Drosophila melanogaster: one gene and its partner. The gene in region 1 interacts genetically with each later gene. Each region holds a gene or a part of one and is shown on either strand. Other genes may lie near its edges.

Evidence for each region.
Region 2: of Act88F (region 1) and wupA, changing one suppresses a phenotype caused by changing the other (phenotypic suppression), as found in Drosophila melanogaster (one study listed by BioGRID).

Annotation. Positions count from the first base shown.
Region 1 is NT_033777.3:15,435,903-15,444,252, forward strand, and holds Act88F (actin 88F), read left to right. Parts: upstream 1-4,066; 5' UTR 4,067-4,144; intron 4,145-4,697; 5' UTR 4,698-4,713; coding exon 4,714-5,638; intron 5,639-5,699; coding exon 5,700-5,905; 3' UTR 5,906-6,275; downstream 6,276-8,350. Other genes in the region: AdamTS-A (ADAM metallopeptidase with thrombospondin type 1 motif A), read right to left, coding at 7,337-7,435, 7,502-8,221, 8,283-8,350.
Region 2 is NC_004354.4:18,112,203-18,120,993, reverse strand, and holds the start of wupA (wings up A), read left to right. Parts: upstream 1-4,168; 5' UTR 4,169-4,287; intron 4,288-6,259; exon of another isoform or gene 6,260-6,347; 5' UTR 6,348-6,368; coding exon 6,369-6,383; exon of another isoform or gene 6,384-6,388; intron 6,389-6,461; exon of another isoform or gene 6,462-6,550; intron 6,551-7,071; coding exon 7,072-7,254; exon of another isoform or gene 7,255-7,264; intron 7,265-7,418; coding exon 7,419-7,547; intron 7,548-7,612; coding exon 7,613-7,736; intron 7,737-8,331; coding exon of another isoform or gene 8,332-8,432; intron 8,433-8,791. UniProt on the Drosophila melanogaster protein: Troponin I is the ATPase inhibitory subunit of troponin in the thin filament regulatory complex. Involved in the development and maintenance of muscle and nervous system. May also be involved in the cytoskeletal apparatus.

The DNA of each region.
Region 1 (8,350 bases):
CCCCTGGCCATTGTACTTGGATTGAATTGCCCCGCTGCCGCCGTGGGGCACAGTGGTAGGCCTCTATTTACTCGGCATTTGTCAGCTTTTTATTTCTTTCGAGATTTTCCCAAGCTTGATAAATTGTCGGCGAGAATTTCAATGTTGTAAAGTTGTATAGGCAGTATTCTAAGCTTGTGAGTTCACACCGTTGCCGATTGATCGATTCTTTTAACATATTTTACTCAGCTGGGTGAAAGTTTGTGTGATAAAGCCACCGACTGTTACATATAGAGATGTAAATCATCTTTCCATTGCGGATACATCGAGTATACCGTATCCACATCCACTTCAAGTAGGGATGCAGAACCTGTCGAAGATCCATTTAGTCATCCAGTGCTCAATCTTGTGTCGCATGACCACGACTTTCGACCAACTAATAGGCCCGAATTTGTATTTACATGCTAATGAGCAACGGAATATTTTGTTTCTACTGAAAACGAAAACGCATTTTATTGCCAAACGATGATCTTTGTCAATAGGAGAGCTAATAGATTTAATTGGACGGCTGGTTCGTTATATAAATCTCGACCGGGCCAGAACTGCTGGGGGAAAAAGAAACGAGCTAAGATGTATCGCGGCTAAATGATTAATGCAGCTAAGAGTCGAGACCCCAAAAGCCAAAATCGTATTTTCACTTTTTAATAATTAACATAAAATTATTAAGAAGACGGCGAAGAAGCTGTGCAGAGGGCGAGGCAGAACGAGCGAAGATGCCGAAAACGATGCCAAACGCATTAAGCGCCCAGCCACAAAGACAAGGCAAGGTAAAGAATAAGCCAAGAAAGTTGTAAAATCCGAGCAGGAAAAGAGATTTCCGAATTTCATAAAGTCTCGCAAAGAACCAGAGCCAGCTGCCGTATGACTAACAAACCAAAAATATAAGCCAAAGAATTTTAAGTGAAATGAACATTTCCCGAAAGCAGCCAACGGGGTCTGACCCAATTACCCATTTAAGCCCAAAGTCCAAATTGATGTGGTAGCGGAGAAGAAATGGCCAAAAGAACGAGAAGAAGGCGATGGAAATGGAAATCGGAGATGGAGCTGTGGGGAAACCGAGGCAGAAGACGAGTAACAGTTATGTGACGGGCAGACAATCGAAAGTTTATGTCATGCTGCCGGCAGCAACGCAGCAGCAACAGCAACAGTAACAGCAACATGCAGCAAACGAAAATCCGACAACCATGGATGAGCAGATCATTTGTTCTTCTAAATGCTCAATCCAGATTGATTTTTCGCTACCCCTTTAATGAGCGAGTATGGAATCTGAAAGTAATATCTCCGTTGGCAGTGAATTTTTCCCCCGCACAGCAACGCAGCGGCGAGTGAAATATAAAACAATTTTTCGAAAGTCATGCCACGAAATAAATAAATGGTTCTTGTATCTACACACGTATCTCGCATAGGCCTACAACTTCAATGAGAGCAGCCAAGCTGCAAGAAAAGAAAAAGTAACTTCGCACTCATACATACACACTTACATACGCATACATACTATAGACACACATACACGTTGCTGACCAGCAAATCGAAAAGATAGCCGAAAAGAGAAACAGAAAATAAAATAATAAAATCGAAACATGAAACATTCTGATTGTATGGGCCAAAAAGTGGGTCAAGCTGCGCGGCCGCTGCTCAGCCGCAGCCTCAGTCGGCGTCGTCATCGCCAACGCGCTCGTGGCTCAGGTTTTGGCTTTAACTTTGCCTGCGGTGATGATTGTGGTGGTGCTGGTTACCATGGCGGTGATCATGATGGTGGTGGTGCTGGTGAAGTGGCTGTGGCTGTGGGTCTGGGTCTCGGTCTCGGTCTCCAGCGGCGCGCTCTGCCCGTGAAACGAGCACCAACACAGACGCAAGACGAAGTAAGAAAATAAGCCCGACTCCGCTGACGGAATACTAAAGTATCTGCGTCCACTTGCACTTTCTTTTTCGAGCTCGCCTCGGTTTTGCTTTTCTCATTCTGCTTCTGCTTCTATTTCTGCTTGAGGTTCAGGTTCGGGTCTTAAGTCTTTCGTTTTGGAGCACGTTTCTGTCGCTTGGCTTTCGCTTGGCGCTCTTTCACCGACAATAGGTGCGCTAGCGGAAACGGGTTCCGTCGAGCTTTTTTTTTCAGGGGCCCGTGCTGGAGCTATTTCAATATATTATTTATCTTCGGAGCCATTCGATGTGTCATATTCTCTTCTTTTCAGATAGAAAATCATAAACTCGTTTAAATGCTGTTAAGTGAAAGACCATTCGCTGTGCATTACAGCGCCATCTATGATTGGCTTTTACTTCAGCCGAAAAGTATGCTAAGACTTGCATGCTTTTAGTTTATGGTTCTTGTCTCGACTACGAAATATTCAAATAAATAAATCGTGGGAAATTCTTACGTACATCAATACAAATCCAATAGAAATTATTCCTGAAACCGTACAAATAGGTATACAAATATTTAACGATGTTTACATAATGTTATAGTAATTAAATTAATTAATTACTAATTTATCTTTCGATAGAAAGAGAACAAAAGTGTGCAGTAGAAGTGTAATTTTTAAAAAAACACTTAAATTTCTAAAATATTTTTCACAATTATATCAATTTGCCGAAATAAAAGTATAATTCAGAAATATCTAGAATGCACAATAGGCAAATTTAGTTAAGATATGAATTTTTAAATAAATGGTGAGCCCAATCAATTCAGTGGTTGAATGACTTTTCATAAATTAAAAAATAAAGATAAGAATGGTGAACAATTCTGTTCGCAGCCACTAACCTCTTGCTCAATACACGATGTCAATCAAGGCAATTACCAAATAAAACGCTTTGGGAATGCCACCAATTCACTTCCGAGCAATCAGATCCTATCTTTAGACCAACCGCATTCGATTATTCATGTGGGCAAGCAATAAAAACGTAAATAGAAAGAAGTAAAAAATAATTAAATCTACATAAAAGGATAAATACAGTTCGATTGAGAAAATACATTTTCGCTCGGTCTGGCTGGCAATGGTTGGTTAATTGCACTGATAAATGGTCGGCACGGTGATTTCGCATCTTCGGGATTGCATCGGCGCCGCAATGCAAAGTGCAGCAGCATTCTGTAGAATGCGATTGCAAATGTGGATGCAGCTTCCTCGAGCACCGCGCGCGGAGATCTCGATCAACCTTGATGTTGATTTATAGGTGCCGCTCTGCTTGGCGCGTCTATTTTAGATTCGCCTCGCTGCGTGCCCGTTGAAATGTCCCATTCTCCCAGTCCCTGCCGCGGATGCCAATTGTCTTGCGTCGGTCCTTCTAAGGTCCGTTTCTATTTTCCGAACTCTCAGCACCGAATGAGTCGTCCGCCGCAGCAGTCGCCCATTGGCAGCAGGATTGGGACAGAGATGGGGACGGAGATGGGGCTAATTGGCCACTCGAGAGTGCTGATTGCCGTTTAGATGGCCCATGCTCCGACTATCACGCACCTCTGCTAATCACTCGGCTATGGCGTTCTCTTATCTTTCGAGAGCTTTCTCTCTCCTGGCACTCCCTACAAATAATGAATAGGGTCCTAAGATTGATAGCTTACTTCTATCATATATTGTCAATTAATTAAATATTTCTAGGATTAAATATGAACTGAATTGAAGATAAAGTTTATCTTCTACTACATAGTTATTTAAGCTGTTATATGTTATGAGACCCTTTTCTAGGATTTGTACCTACTAACAATGTGAAAAAAATATAAAATGTCATATTTTCGTAGTTTGGAAATTCCCTCGTTTATTGAATTTATTGGTAATCTTAATAAATGATTCTATGCTTTATTAAGTATTTAATTGTGTGGCTTCCTTTTTTTGTGAAGCGCATTAATGAGTCGTCTTCGTGCAATGAGGCATCCAAACTTCTGACATGCTCGGCCAGAAGTCTGAAAACTGCTTATATGGATCGATTGTTCCGCAGCACTTTCGCTCAATCTTTTTCTCAGTGCCGCACTGGCATCCAACTCAAATCGCTTCGAGGGAGAGCCGAGATATAAAGGCAGGACAGACCGATCGGCGTGCCATTTGTTGTTGAATCTAGTTGTCAACAGGAATCGAACGTGCGACTCTATCCAATTTTTCTCCTTTCGTTGACCTAAAAGGTGTGTGAGTGCGACCTCAATGTCGAAGGATCCAAGGATTATTACAGAAAAAGCCAAGAGGACTAAGGATATTAAAACTCTTTTTAATAAGTTCGGATTGTTTGATGGATTTTTCTACAAGTCACTAATCGGTCTTCGAAAGTTCAATATCTAAATATAAAGTGAAGAGTAATTGCAACGAAACGTATTTTCAATTAATTTGATACGTTTAAATTAAGTTCTATGAACTATTCTTTTCCGATATTTATAGAGCACTGATTTAGTTTCAAGTGAATAACCATATTAGCATGAGTCAAAAGGAAATGGAATATACCAATTTTGGCAATTTTTCATGGTTTTATTTACTGAAATGTGCTCAAATGGACAATAGAGTTTCACTTCACTTCTTCAATATCTTAAAAAGTTAAATATTTTCTTGAGACACAAATTAGTTTTCTATGTTGTCATTAAAGTAGTAGAATTTAAAGAATTGAGATGTAGGTGGGAGCTATAAAACTTTACATATATAATCGACAGATCGAGCTAACCGAGTGCACTTCCATCTCCCTTCCAGATAAACAACTGCCAAGATGTGTGACGATGATGCGGGTGCATTAGTTATCGACAACGGATCGGGCATGTGCAAAGCCGGCTTCGCCGGTGATGACGCTCCCCGTGCTGTCTTCCCCTCAATTGTGGGTCGTCCCCGACACCAGGGTGTGATGGTGGGTATGGGTCAGAAGGACTCGTACGTGGGCGACGAGGCGCAAAGCAAGCGCGGTATCCTGACGCTGAAGTACCCCATCGAGCACGGCATCATCACGAACTGGGACGACATGGAGAAGATCTGGCATCACACCTTCTACAACGAGCTGCGCGTGGCCCCCGAGGAGCATCCAGTATTATTGACCGAGGCTCCACTGAACCCCAAGGCCAATCGCGAGAAGATGACCCAGATCATGTTCGAGACCTTCAACTCGCCGGCCATGTACGTGGCCATCCAGGCCGTGCTCTCCCTGTACGCCTCCGGTCGTACCACCGGTATTGTGCTGGACTCCGGCGATGGTGTCTCCCACACCGTGCCCATCTATGAGGGCTTCGCCCTGCCCCACGCCATTCTGCGTCTGGATCTGGCTGGTCGCGATCTGACCGATTACCTGATGAAGATCCTGACGGAGCGCGGCTACAGCTTCACCACCACCGCCGAGCGTGAGATCGTGCGCGACATCAAGGAGAAGCTGTGCTACGTGGCTCTGGACTTCGAGCAGGAGATGGCCACCGCTGCCGCCTCCACCTCGCTGGAGAAGTCGTACGAGTTGCCTGACGGCCAGGTGATCACCATTGGCAACGAGCGCTTCCGCTGCCCCGAGGCTCTGTTCCAGCCCTCGTTCCTGGGCATGGAGTCGTGCGGCATCCACGAGACCGTCTACAACTCGATCATGAAGTGCGACGTGGACATCCGCAAGGATCTGTATGCCAACTCTGTGCTGTCCGGCGGTACCACCATGTACCCTGGTAAGACAAATCATTCGCTTCAGCAGTTGCACTTGTGCTTAATCCTTTGGTGCACTTTCAGGTATTGCCGATCGTATGCAGAAGGAGATCACTGCCCTGGCCCCATCGACCATCAAGATCAAGATCATTGCGCCACCCGAGAGGAAGTACTCCGTCTGGATCGGTGGCTCCATCCTGGCCTCGCTGTCCACCTTCCAGCAGATGTGGATCTCGAAGCAGGAGTACGACGAGTCCGGCCCCGGAATCGTTCACCGCAAATGCTTTTAAGTCTTTCGCCCGCCGCGAAAGCTCTTCAAAGGCAGCAACCAGCAGCGACCAACAAGCACCCATCGAGCTACCCAACAACCTCGGCTCGGACAGTGATAGACAAAAGCAGCGAACCCATCGCACAACAATTATCATCCAACTCAGATTCACAGCAGATAATCAGAGGCAACCTCCGGTTGTCGGTGCTCATCCTTCATGGCCATTTCATCGGCAGCGGTATAGCGGATTTTTACTTTGAAGAACTAATCGTAAGAGTCGTGGCTGTGCTCCATGTCGAGTAGCAATCAAATGTATATGAGGAGCTTTTAACCCTAGTCAGTGAATTGAAAGCCAAATATATCTTCCATTAAAACTATTAAATATTTTAAATAAATACATTTTTCTATTACCCGCCCCCCCCCCGTGTACTGAAAAGCCCTGGAGGTGCGAACCACGTTTGGTTGGTAACAGCTTTAAATTCCTTTTAATTGACATTAAATTAATTGTTAACATTGGTTTTGCATTAGCCTAGCTAGTTAAATGAAAATACAGCGAGGATACTTGGTACCGGGACTTAGGCGATTTGGGATACAATCGATTGAACGTTGAAAATCTGGCAGTGATAACAATCAATCAAGAGTGTTAATTCGATTTGATGAATAGTTTGGTTTGGCTTGTGCGATCGGGGGGTATCCTAAATAATATGAGTATTCGTTTTAGTTACACATACATTTGCTCCCAACTTCTCTCTCTCTCTCTTAACTAACTAATTGCGGAGCTAAGCTAATACAACTATTGTACAGACCGGCATTGCACTAGTTTAGCCGAGCTCTTCGTTTTCGGTGAGTGATGGATGGATGGATGCCCTAGGCTTGTTTCAGGGAATAATCGGAATAATTGTTGGGGATGGAGCAGAGGAAAGTGTAAGTATATTTTAATTAAATTAAATTATTGCTTGAAATGCACTTCTTGGTATTGTTCCCATTGCTGACTTTACCTAGGCAAAGGATATCTTTGCATCTTCCATCACTGCATACCGGAGTTGGCACAAATACGGGCTTATCTGAGCGACGACCTATGATGATGGATAATCCCTATTTGCTAATTCAAAGGCTCACATCCTCTAGTATTTACAATACTTAATACATTACATGGCAATAATATCTAGTTACTAATTTCGAGCGAAATATAATTATATATATATACAGACGATATGGTTTTGTTCGGGCTACTTCGACACGATTATTACAGTTTATATATAACTAACTAATATTCGAGAATACTTTTAACCATCGATAGCGGCGACTCTCCGTAGTGGTAATTCTTGGCTGGGGTAACCCTGATATGCTGGGATGCTCGGATTAACTTTACCCTTGGTCCTTCCCGGGACGTAGACCCGATTACCGTGGGAAGGTCAAACAAAGTTTCCCGCTGACTACTCAGTGGTTTCAGTCATAACACGTCCAGGTAAAGGCCAGAATCGGGCGCTATATAGCAACCGCCGCAGTATCCTCCGCAGAATCCCCTTCGCATCTGCGTGGTCGTATCAAACTGAAAACGGGAATAGCATATATATATAGGCAATGATCCTTTTTGATAATTGAGTGACTGACATACCTCACTGATACGCTTCATGACCGAGTACTGGCCATGCATCCGCCACACGGTTCCCGGTCGTATGGAGAAGTCCGTGTCCTTCATGTTAATCGAGAAGTCGCCCTGCGGACACTGGCCAATGCGATTGTAGCAATCGCCCGCTGATCCCAGCTTCTGAGCCAATCCTCGCGAATCGGCGAACTTGAAGTCGTTGTCCATGATGCGCAGATCGGTGATATTCAGCCGCAGCTTTCTGAAGTGCGTCCGGCCGGAGTTCTGATCGTTGTAGTACTCGTGGCCTCGCGACTCCGGCGGACAGCTGTTGGTCTGTTTCGTCCTGTACTCGTAGTATATGGAGTAGTTCTCCTGCGGATCCACGTTCACGTACTCCTGTGGCGTCCTGCTGTTCATCCCGTGGCAGTAGATGTGCACCATTCGCGATCTCACCTCCAGCTGGTAGTTGCCATCCTTGTTGTAGCCGTGCATCTCCTTCAGGTCCGCACAGCTTCTCGGTGTTCCGCGATTCCGTGAGCCTCCGATTGAATTCAAGCTCCTGCTGCTACTCACTCCAGTGCCCCTCGGTCTGCTGCTGATGCTGCTCCCGATGGCACTTCTCCTTCGGCAATGTGGCGGCGGAGTGCAGCTGTGACGCTCCACCCTGGCTCTCGTGGGACACGCGATGCGACCCTTGTGCGAGTTGAAGCAGAAGTCCCGCCTCTTCTCCACACCCTCACAGTTGCACTGGAAAGGGAGGTGGGATAGTAACTCTATCGAAAGGAAGCTTTCCAAGTGGCCAACTCACCTGCGAGATGACTCTCGACTGCCGGCGCACGCAGTTGTTGCAGATGCGTCGCTTGGATGGACGCTTCT
Region 2 (8,791 bases), on another chromosome or scaffold:
GTGGAAAATTGTGCAGACCCCTCGGCTCTCCATCTTCTTTGGATGTCCTTCGTCGTGGATGTGGATGTGAATGTGAATGTGAATGTGGATGCAGATGTGGATGTGGAGAAGCTGGGCGGCGGAGGTGACTTGGCTAATGAAGACCAATGACGTCCGACGGCTTACAAAAGCACTCGGAACAAAATGCTTAATCGTTCTCGAATTTAAATGAATAGCATTAGCTCAACTGGCATTCCTTTCATGAGGAACACACATTTTGACTTGATAAGTCTTCTAATTAGGCATTGAATTCGCAGTTACTATGTATTCCTAAAAAGCAACAAGGATATGAAAGGGATATTTTGTGATAATTTTCAGATATATTTAAGATACATGTGTGCATTCAAGGCCTTACAGAAATAAATCGATGCAATATGAGTATCTTTTTGGTAATTTTCCATATCATTTTAAACCACACATTTGATATGCTGTTCGGCGAGAATATTTTCAAAAGTCTGTGTGGAATGGTCGTGGAAATTGGGGCCCCTTGATTGACCTCAGCTTACTGGACCATCAATCAATTAGGCGCCATTTTGCCTTCCACGAACGCGTGCACATGGAATCCGCATCATATTCCTGTTCCTGCACCATGTTGCATGTTGCATGGACTGACCTCGCTGCCTCCTGATGACGTCTGCGTGGAAACTATGACGTCACTGGCGGCGAAACTAGTGCAAATACACTACAAGCTGCACACGCATGCTATCGGTGTGAACGACTGCGCCTGTGTGCGTGCGGTTGCACGTCATCAATGTGGAAAATGTGGAAAGCCATAGAAAAAGTACAAGGGTATAAACACAAGTCCCTAAAAATAGGCGATTATCCGAGATACGAACTACTCCATGAAAACAACAACGGAAAATATTGAGCTAGTTTTAAAGAAGCCAAATAGAAATGGCCCAACTGTTAGCAGTAGTGTAGCTATAGAAATTATAAATAAATTATAAATAATAACGTACGCAGCATTTAACTAGGTATTTGTTTAGATAAAAGCATTTTTCAATCTACAATATAAAGACATTTAACTTCATGCCAAATAAATGCCTCTGTAATAAAGCTACTTATTAATCCTATTATCCATGCTAATCGCATTATTTCCCCCACTTTCTTATCATAATACTAGCTTGCAAAAGTTTCATTCTGAATAATTGATTATACTTACGCCACAGCACAAGTTTCGTGCTTTTCAGCCGCCCTTTGATGCAACAAAATTAGTTACTGTAACCGACAAACGCAGTTAATCCTTGGAGATGTGCAACCAATACGTGCACCAAAAGTGCATTTGAAACTGTAATCCGTTTAGTTGATTTAATTAAATTTGCGATAACTTTGCCAACTCTAAGGCGAACTTGGGCAGGGTTATTTAAATATTTCGCAGGACCAGCCGGAGTAAGCGAATTCTGACGGCTACCATGAGTGCACCCAGCACCTATGTACATACATAATGCGAGTGCATGCAGCATATATAAATACATATACATATTATATATATACATATATATATTTATATACGGTGCAGGGAGGATAAGGATGCGAGTGCCTGTTTGTGTGTATATAACCCTAAATGGGTCAGCGACAGCTGGGGAGTGGTGTTGGTTCTGGTTATGGAGGGGGAGTTCGGCGGGCAGACGACAACGACGACGACGACGACGACGACGACAGCAGCGACAAATAGTTGTCAGGTAGAGCGAACGTTGCAAGGCCACGCCCACAGTGGGCGGCTCAGAGGGGGGGGGCGGGGGTGGGCGCTTATGACGTTTGTTTTGCTTTGACGCACTCGCAGCCAGCTGACCATCGATGGTTCGCCTTTAACCCCGAATTAAGCTCGATTCACTGGGCACACCACACTGCCCACCTTTAAGGCCTCGATTCGTGCAAATATTCCGCCCATGTTGCAACATTGCTTTATTAAAGTTTACTTATTGCCAATGTATACACATTTTCGACGCTGTAAGACATTACCGCTTTTCTAGTAATACTGGTCGGCATTATAGCCCACCCCCGTCCGATTCAATATTTCCTGTTTGCCAAAGGCCCAAAAATAAGGCACAATATTAAAAGTGTTTTTTCAAACGAAAAACATTTTCGAAATTCATAAATTAAGGCAAAAATTGCTTGGGCGCGCAGCGGAATTGTTTAAAAACGCTCGGAACGAGAATGAAGGCGAAAATAGATTCGTCCAGACATAGACGAACTGATCAAGTTCCCTACGAATAACGAAAACATTTTGCCCCAAGCTAACCCACTGCCCTTCCGCAGTCGCCGTTTTTTCGATTTCCCCCCTGGAAGCCATATTCTAAATTTAAATGGGGAAAAACAAAATAGAAATCATCGAAAATACATTTCGAAATAGAGCTAGAACAAGCCGTGGCAAAATCAAAAACAAGCAACACAAACAGAAACACAAAATGCCAAGAACAACGAGATGAGCAGGGAAAAGCAACATTATTTTCAACAATATTTTGTTGTTGCTCTCCCTGCTGAAAGTTTATAGAATCGGAACATACGTATAGACAGTCTATGTATATCTAAATTCATATACGATATATATATATATATATAGACATGGTTTCGTGATCGAAACGTTTTATTCGTCTTTCGTTCTTGGCGAAATTCGAAAATTACTTTCAACCAAAGTTGCAAGGCGTTTCGTCTACGGGGCGTATGCGTGATTTTCAGTAGGTGTGTTGCAGCGTCATTCGCACCGTTTACCATTATATATAGAAATTTATATATATATACATATATATATATATATATATATGTGTATGTGTGTATTTGGCCATATTGCGTATATACATTATATTTAGACTGACGATGCCAAAGTAATTCAGCTAAAACATTGATATTAACAAGACGGATATAGGCTATATGTTCGTACGATTCGCTTGGAACACATTATTCGAAAGCTTAAAGTTATGTCAGCGGCCAACATGCAAGATAAATAGCCGAACAACATGAAACAGATCGTTAAAATGGTTTTTCTAGATCAAGTCCAAAGTGGCACGGTCTAAGAAAAACCTTTTAAATGAACACAAACGGAATAATTACTTTAAGACCTGGAAATGATATTGGATGGATTAAATAGTAATAATCTTCAAATTAAATAAGTTAAGAATCTATGGGATTCCCCAATTTTATCTAATATATTTTCAGCAATATATGTATGTAAGGGTTATTAACCTATTTTTCTTAAAAACTGCAGTCTTCTAAAGAAAACAGTAATTTGTATTCAGTCAACTCATCGAAATATTAGTTATGTTTATGAGGATAAATGTTCGATAGGAGTTATAAATCTAATCTTTAAAATAACGCTGCATGCACCTATTTTAAGATAATGTTTAGTTTCATTAGTATTTGCTGTTGAAGTAGATTACATTGAAAATGAATATATATTCAATATATGCATATCCCAGCACAAGCTTATTCCCTGGATTTTCCAGAATTAGCATAATATTTTATAGTTTTTTAACCAGGGCTGGCGAAACCAGAGATTGCAGCCAGTCGCCGGCCCTGATTTTTTCATTGCACACCGATTGCACCGCCATCGCATAGCCTCCCAACTGGAGCAACAAAACCTATTTTTATCCATTGCATTGAATTCCAAGCGGCTCCGTTTACACCAGCACACACATCGAACTGCAGATACGATATTGTGAACACCGATGCGGATACAGAGATACAAAGATTCTCCAAGCGGTATTTTTCATAGGGTGGTTTACGGGTCTGCAGTTCCGACGGGGCGGGAGTTACGGGATCGGGATCGCAATCGCAATCGCAATCGCAATCGGATTCGGATTCGGAATCGATTCGGCATGCCACTCGGCTGCGACGATCGTGAGCCGAACACTTTTCGGTATCCATTTCGATTTTGCTTATGGGCTGTGCTCTGCCATGTCAGTTTTGGTGGGATCTATTTTTGGATCTCACGCCCAGATACATAACCCCGGCCCCCGAGCCACTCTCGCTCTCTCTCGCTCTCGCCCGTTCGTGAAGGACGGTGGGCAGGTGGGCGGCTAACGTTTGGCTTTCGGAACATAACGGAACCGAGCCGAACGAGACGATGCGATACGATGCGATCCGATCAACAACGATCCGTATCTGTATCCGTTGGGTGGCTAGCCGCTAGAATATAGTCTGCCGTGGATCGTCGGACCGTTCAGTCTTTTTGTGTCGTTCAGTATCATCCGATTCGTGTGATCGACAGCATAGCCGAATTTTTTTTCTTTTTTTTCTAATTCCTTGAAGGTGAGTGCTTGAAGCGGAGCAACATTCAAAAAGCCAAGAAAAACATCACCATCAACATTGACAACGAGCAACAATGCAAGAACAAGCGGAATGGAAAAACAGAAAACTGCAAAATGCAAAATGCAAATGCTAATGCTAATGCAAAGAAAAACAAATGTGAAATCCTCAGTCCTTTCTCATATGCTATACATATATATATATATATTTATATTTATATGTATGTCTGGACCTGACCAAAATCGTGTGCGTGTGCCCAGAGGATTCAAACATTTTTTTTCAAACAATTTTTTTGCTATTTTTTTTCAAGTGATACAAGTTAACAAGTGTCTAAAACTGCATCGAAATACTTTTCAACATTATTTTGACTTGATTTTGCAATGAATTTTTTTTCACGGATTGGCTTGCCAATTACGTAAGAAGTTGCCGTGTGTGTGTGCGTGTATGCGTGTGTGTGCGTGCCGAAAGCTAAAAATGTATCCCGCAGATACAAGATACATTTCAAAAAAGCTAAAATCGCTCGAAAAGTGCCTGAAAATAGACCACAGCGAGAACAAGAGATCCCGAGAGAGAGAAAAATCACACACACACACGCACACACAGAAAATCATACACTCACACACAGAGAAACAACACGCACACGTCGCCTACGTAAAATAACTGGATAAATGCTCTCCGAACTTTTGGATTTCATATTCGATACGAATATCGTTGCTCCAATTTGACTATTTTTTTTCCGTGAACATATAAACAAATTGTACGGCAAATCATAAATAGCTGCCATATTTCTCGCATCCGAGATTCGTGTATCTATCAACAGGTTTATTTTTAAATCAGTCAGATACTAGATACAGTAGATGCCATCCCACTCGCTCTCATTCTCAGATGTATGCCGAGTGGAGACATCGACTATGCTTAAATTCGTTGTGCATTTCTCGCAGTGTACATAGCCGAAGGTCGTCATTGTCAGAAAATTTTCACGCCTTACCTTCGCTAAGGTGCGCAAATTGCTGGGGCTAAATATACGCCTAGCTCCCTAGCAATTCGTTCTACTAAGCCATATGGCTTTGTAGGTGTGAAAACCCCAAAATATACAACTTCTTCCAAAGGATATAAAATCTATAACGGATCTCCTTTTGACTCATTGTACATTATTTTAGTTCATTGCTAACAGCATAGATAATTTGTTTAACGATTACTTTCAACGCTAGTAGACTTTTTAAAGTTATATATGTACTTTGTGAGGTGTTAATTCTTCGACTTCATTTCAGTAAAAATGTATACATATACATACTATACGGATAGGCTAGCAAATAAATTCTGATTAATTCCTCAAGATGTAGACATGGTTTTTCGTATGATGAAATCTCATAATGTTTACTTAAAGATTCCCAATATGTTATTCAGCATAAAATGTATTTTTAAAATGCCATTACAACGATCAATCATCTGATCAAGTATGCATATGTAAAAGTTACTTCTATACTAACGATTTAACTTTTAGCTTGATTAAAACGAAAACATATCGTAGGAAAGTTTCCATTAACAAAATCAGCTGGCTGAGATCGGTCAGTTGGGAAATGCTATTCTCTCTTTGCTCACTTGAAATCGGATATCAAAGAGAGCAACTAGAAAAGCCACAAAGCAATACAGTTGTCTTTTTCTGGCAGCTAGACGCCCACGCCAAAGTAAATGTGCGAAAGAAAGGCTAAGCGAAGAGAGCGGGAAAATGAGCGTTTGCTGGGGTTGTCCTCCCATATACGGCGTGAACCAATGCTGCGTATACGTAATATGCGGCATATGCCAGCAATATGGCGCATACGCACTGTGGTACCCCGGTGAGATCGTAGGCGTGTGCGAATGGGAGAGAGAGCGACTGATTTATGGAACATATATATATATATATATAAACACATACTTATATGTATATACCTACATATAGCCGTGTATATATAGGGCAATGGAAATGATGTCATCGAACATTTCCATTCACCATTCACCATTCACCATTTGCCTCCAGTTCCAGTTCCTTGAGTTCACCTCTCGATTTCTCTTACTTTCAGTAACCAAAAACACAAATCAAAATGGCTGATGATGAGGTGAGGTGAGTATCTCCAACGGCCCCCTTTCTACCGCCTTTGAGAAACGGTTGATTAACCTTTGACCCTCTTCTTCAGTTAACTATTTTGGGGCATTAATCGCAAGCACTGTTTTGGAAATTGGAAGTGATTTGGACGGGATTAAACCTGACTGGATGTGGATTTAGGTAAGCAAAGCTCCCGAACAATCCAGAAGCTTCAACAGCCCCCCACTTGCAACCACGCAACATGCAACCCAAGCCTTTCTTTGCCTTTCTCTTGCTTTCACAGGATCGCTGCGCTTTGCAACCCTCTGAATCCCAGCCATTTCTTCCTTTCGATCAAGGAGCACAGATAATGATAACTGTCAAGTCTGACTGAAAGCCATGTCTGTTATCGTTAGTGTGTGTCTATGTCTCTGTGCCTTGCTTTGTCCCTTTTTTTGTTATCGTCGCGTTTGTGCCTGGAGAAATTTGAGATCTATTTAAAGTAGTTTAAAATCAATGAAATATTACAACCAATAAAACTTGGCTGACCATTCTTATATAATTTAAATGAGTTTAAAACCTATTTGATTACTTTAAATAATTGTGGATGATTGAGAAATGTTAATAGTTCCTTTGAAGTTTAAGCAATTTTCTCCTAGCCTGGCGTACTTTTTCGATTCCTAGAACTGCAACTAACCAGCAATCATTTAACTTGATTTCAGAAAAAGGCAGCAGCTCCGGCCGCAGCTCCAGCGGCGGCGGCCAAACCGGCGGCTCCGGCAGCAGCCCCGGCGGCCAATGGCAAGGCTGCTCCGGCGGCCAATGGAAAGGCTGCTCCGGCAGCTGCCGCCGCTCCCGCCGGTCCGCCCAAGGATCCCAACGACCCCAAAGTGAAGGCCGAGGAGGTACACTTGTGTACGTGTGTGCCCGTTCAACTTAACGTCCATGTCAAAGTCCAAGTCTCGTGCTGTGCAGTGCTGTGTTCGAATATCATATCTAGTGTTGTGTCCAGTTTTGGATGTGAGCAAACCATGCTGATACCCGGATTGTTCGTTCATTTAATTTGCAGGCTAAGAAGGCTAAACAGGCTGAGATCGAGCGCAAGCGTGCTGAGGTGCGCAAGCGCATGGAGGAAGCCTCCAAGGCCAAGAAGGCCAAGAAGGGTTTCATGACCCCAGAGAGGAAGAAGAAACTCAGGGTAAGTTTCCAGCATATACCAACGCTTTGTATGATCGCCAGCTAATCAAAGCCCTCCACTTGCAGTTGCTGCTGCGTAAGAAAGCCGCTGAGGAGCTGAAGAAAGAACAGGAACGCAAAGCGGCTGAACGTAGACGCATCATCGAAGAACGTTGCGGCAGTCCCAGGAATCTCAGCGATGCCAGCGAAGGTGAGTAGCCTCGGTCCTCGAACCGAATGATTAAGATCCCTGATCAGGCGAGTGGAAATCCCTAGAGGTTTCCCTGCACCTGGTCACGGTTCGAAAGTATAAAGGATGAAAAACCATATAATCGAAATAAACGAAATCAATCAGTAAAACAGATAGGCGGCTTATGCATTCAATATGTTTAAGCCCGCCTGTCGCGAAGCATAAACCAAAATCGATAACTGAAAGTTGAACAAGTGTCATCTATCGCATACATACATACAATTACATAACACACCAACACGAAGACACCAAAAACACACACCAAACACACACAGGATAACCGACCTCCCACATCGGATCACATTGACGTCGCAGAGGAACCATAGTCTTATTATGCCTGAACCACTGTGTGCAACATGTATCTAAATGTGTCTCTATCTCTATCTCTCTTTTGCCGCACCCATGCCCGTTAAATATCCAATCGATCCACACACACACACCACCACCACCACCACCACCACCAACCCTCTCCAACACAACCAACACCCCATTCCACAACCACAACCAACTCCGAACCACTCCGAAAAACCGAATATAAAAACCCCATTGTGAACAGACACACTCAAATCTCTGATCAAGCAACACTATGACAGGATTAATAAATTGGAGGACCAGAAATATGATCTTGAGTATGTTGTTAAACGCAAGGATGTTGAGGTACACGAACACCACCAATTTTATATACGCCACCTAAATACGCCTAAGTCTATCCACGATCAAAATCAAAAGCTAACGCTTAACAACAACAATATAAACACACCTTCTGTCAGCTGTCTCTTTCTATATATCTAAAACACTATCTCACTCTCAATCTGTTTACTGTATAATACACTCTATATATGTTCGTGAAAAGTGTTATTCGCCCAGGCACTAAAAACTGTACAGAAACTCAATGGCTCAATTAGCTCCGTATGCGTATCCGTATCCGTATCTCCGTATACTCACCCGATTAATGCAGGTCTCTTTCTATATGTCACTCCAGTGAGGATGTGTTCTGTTTAAGAATGGAAGTGTAG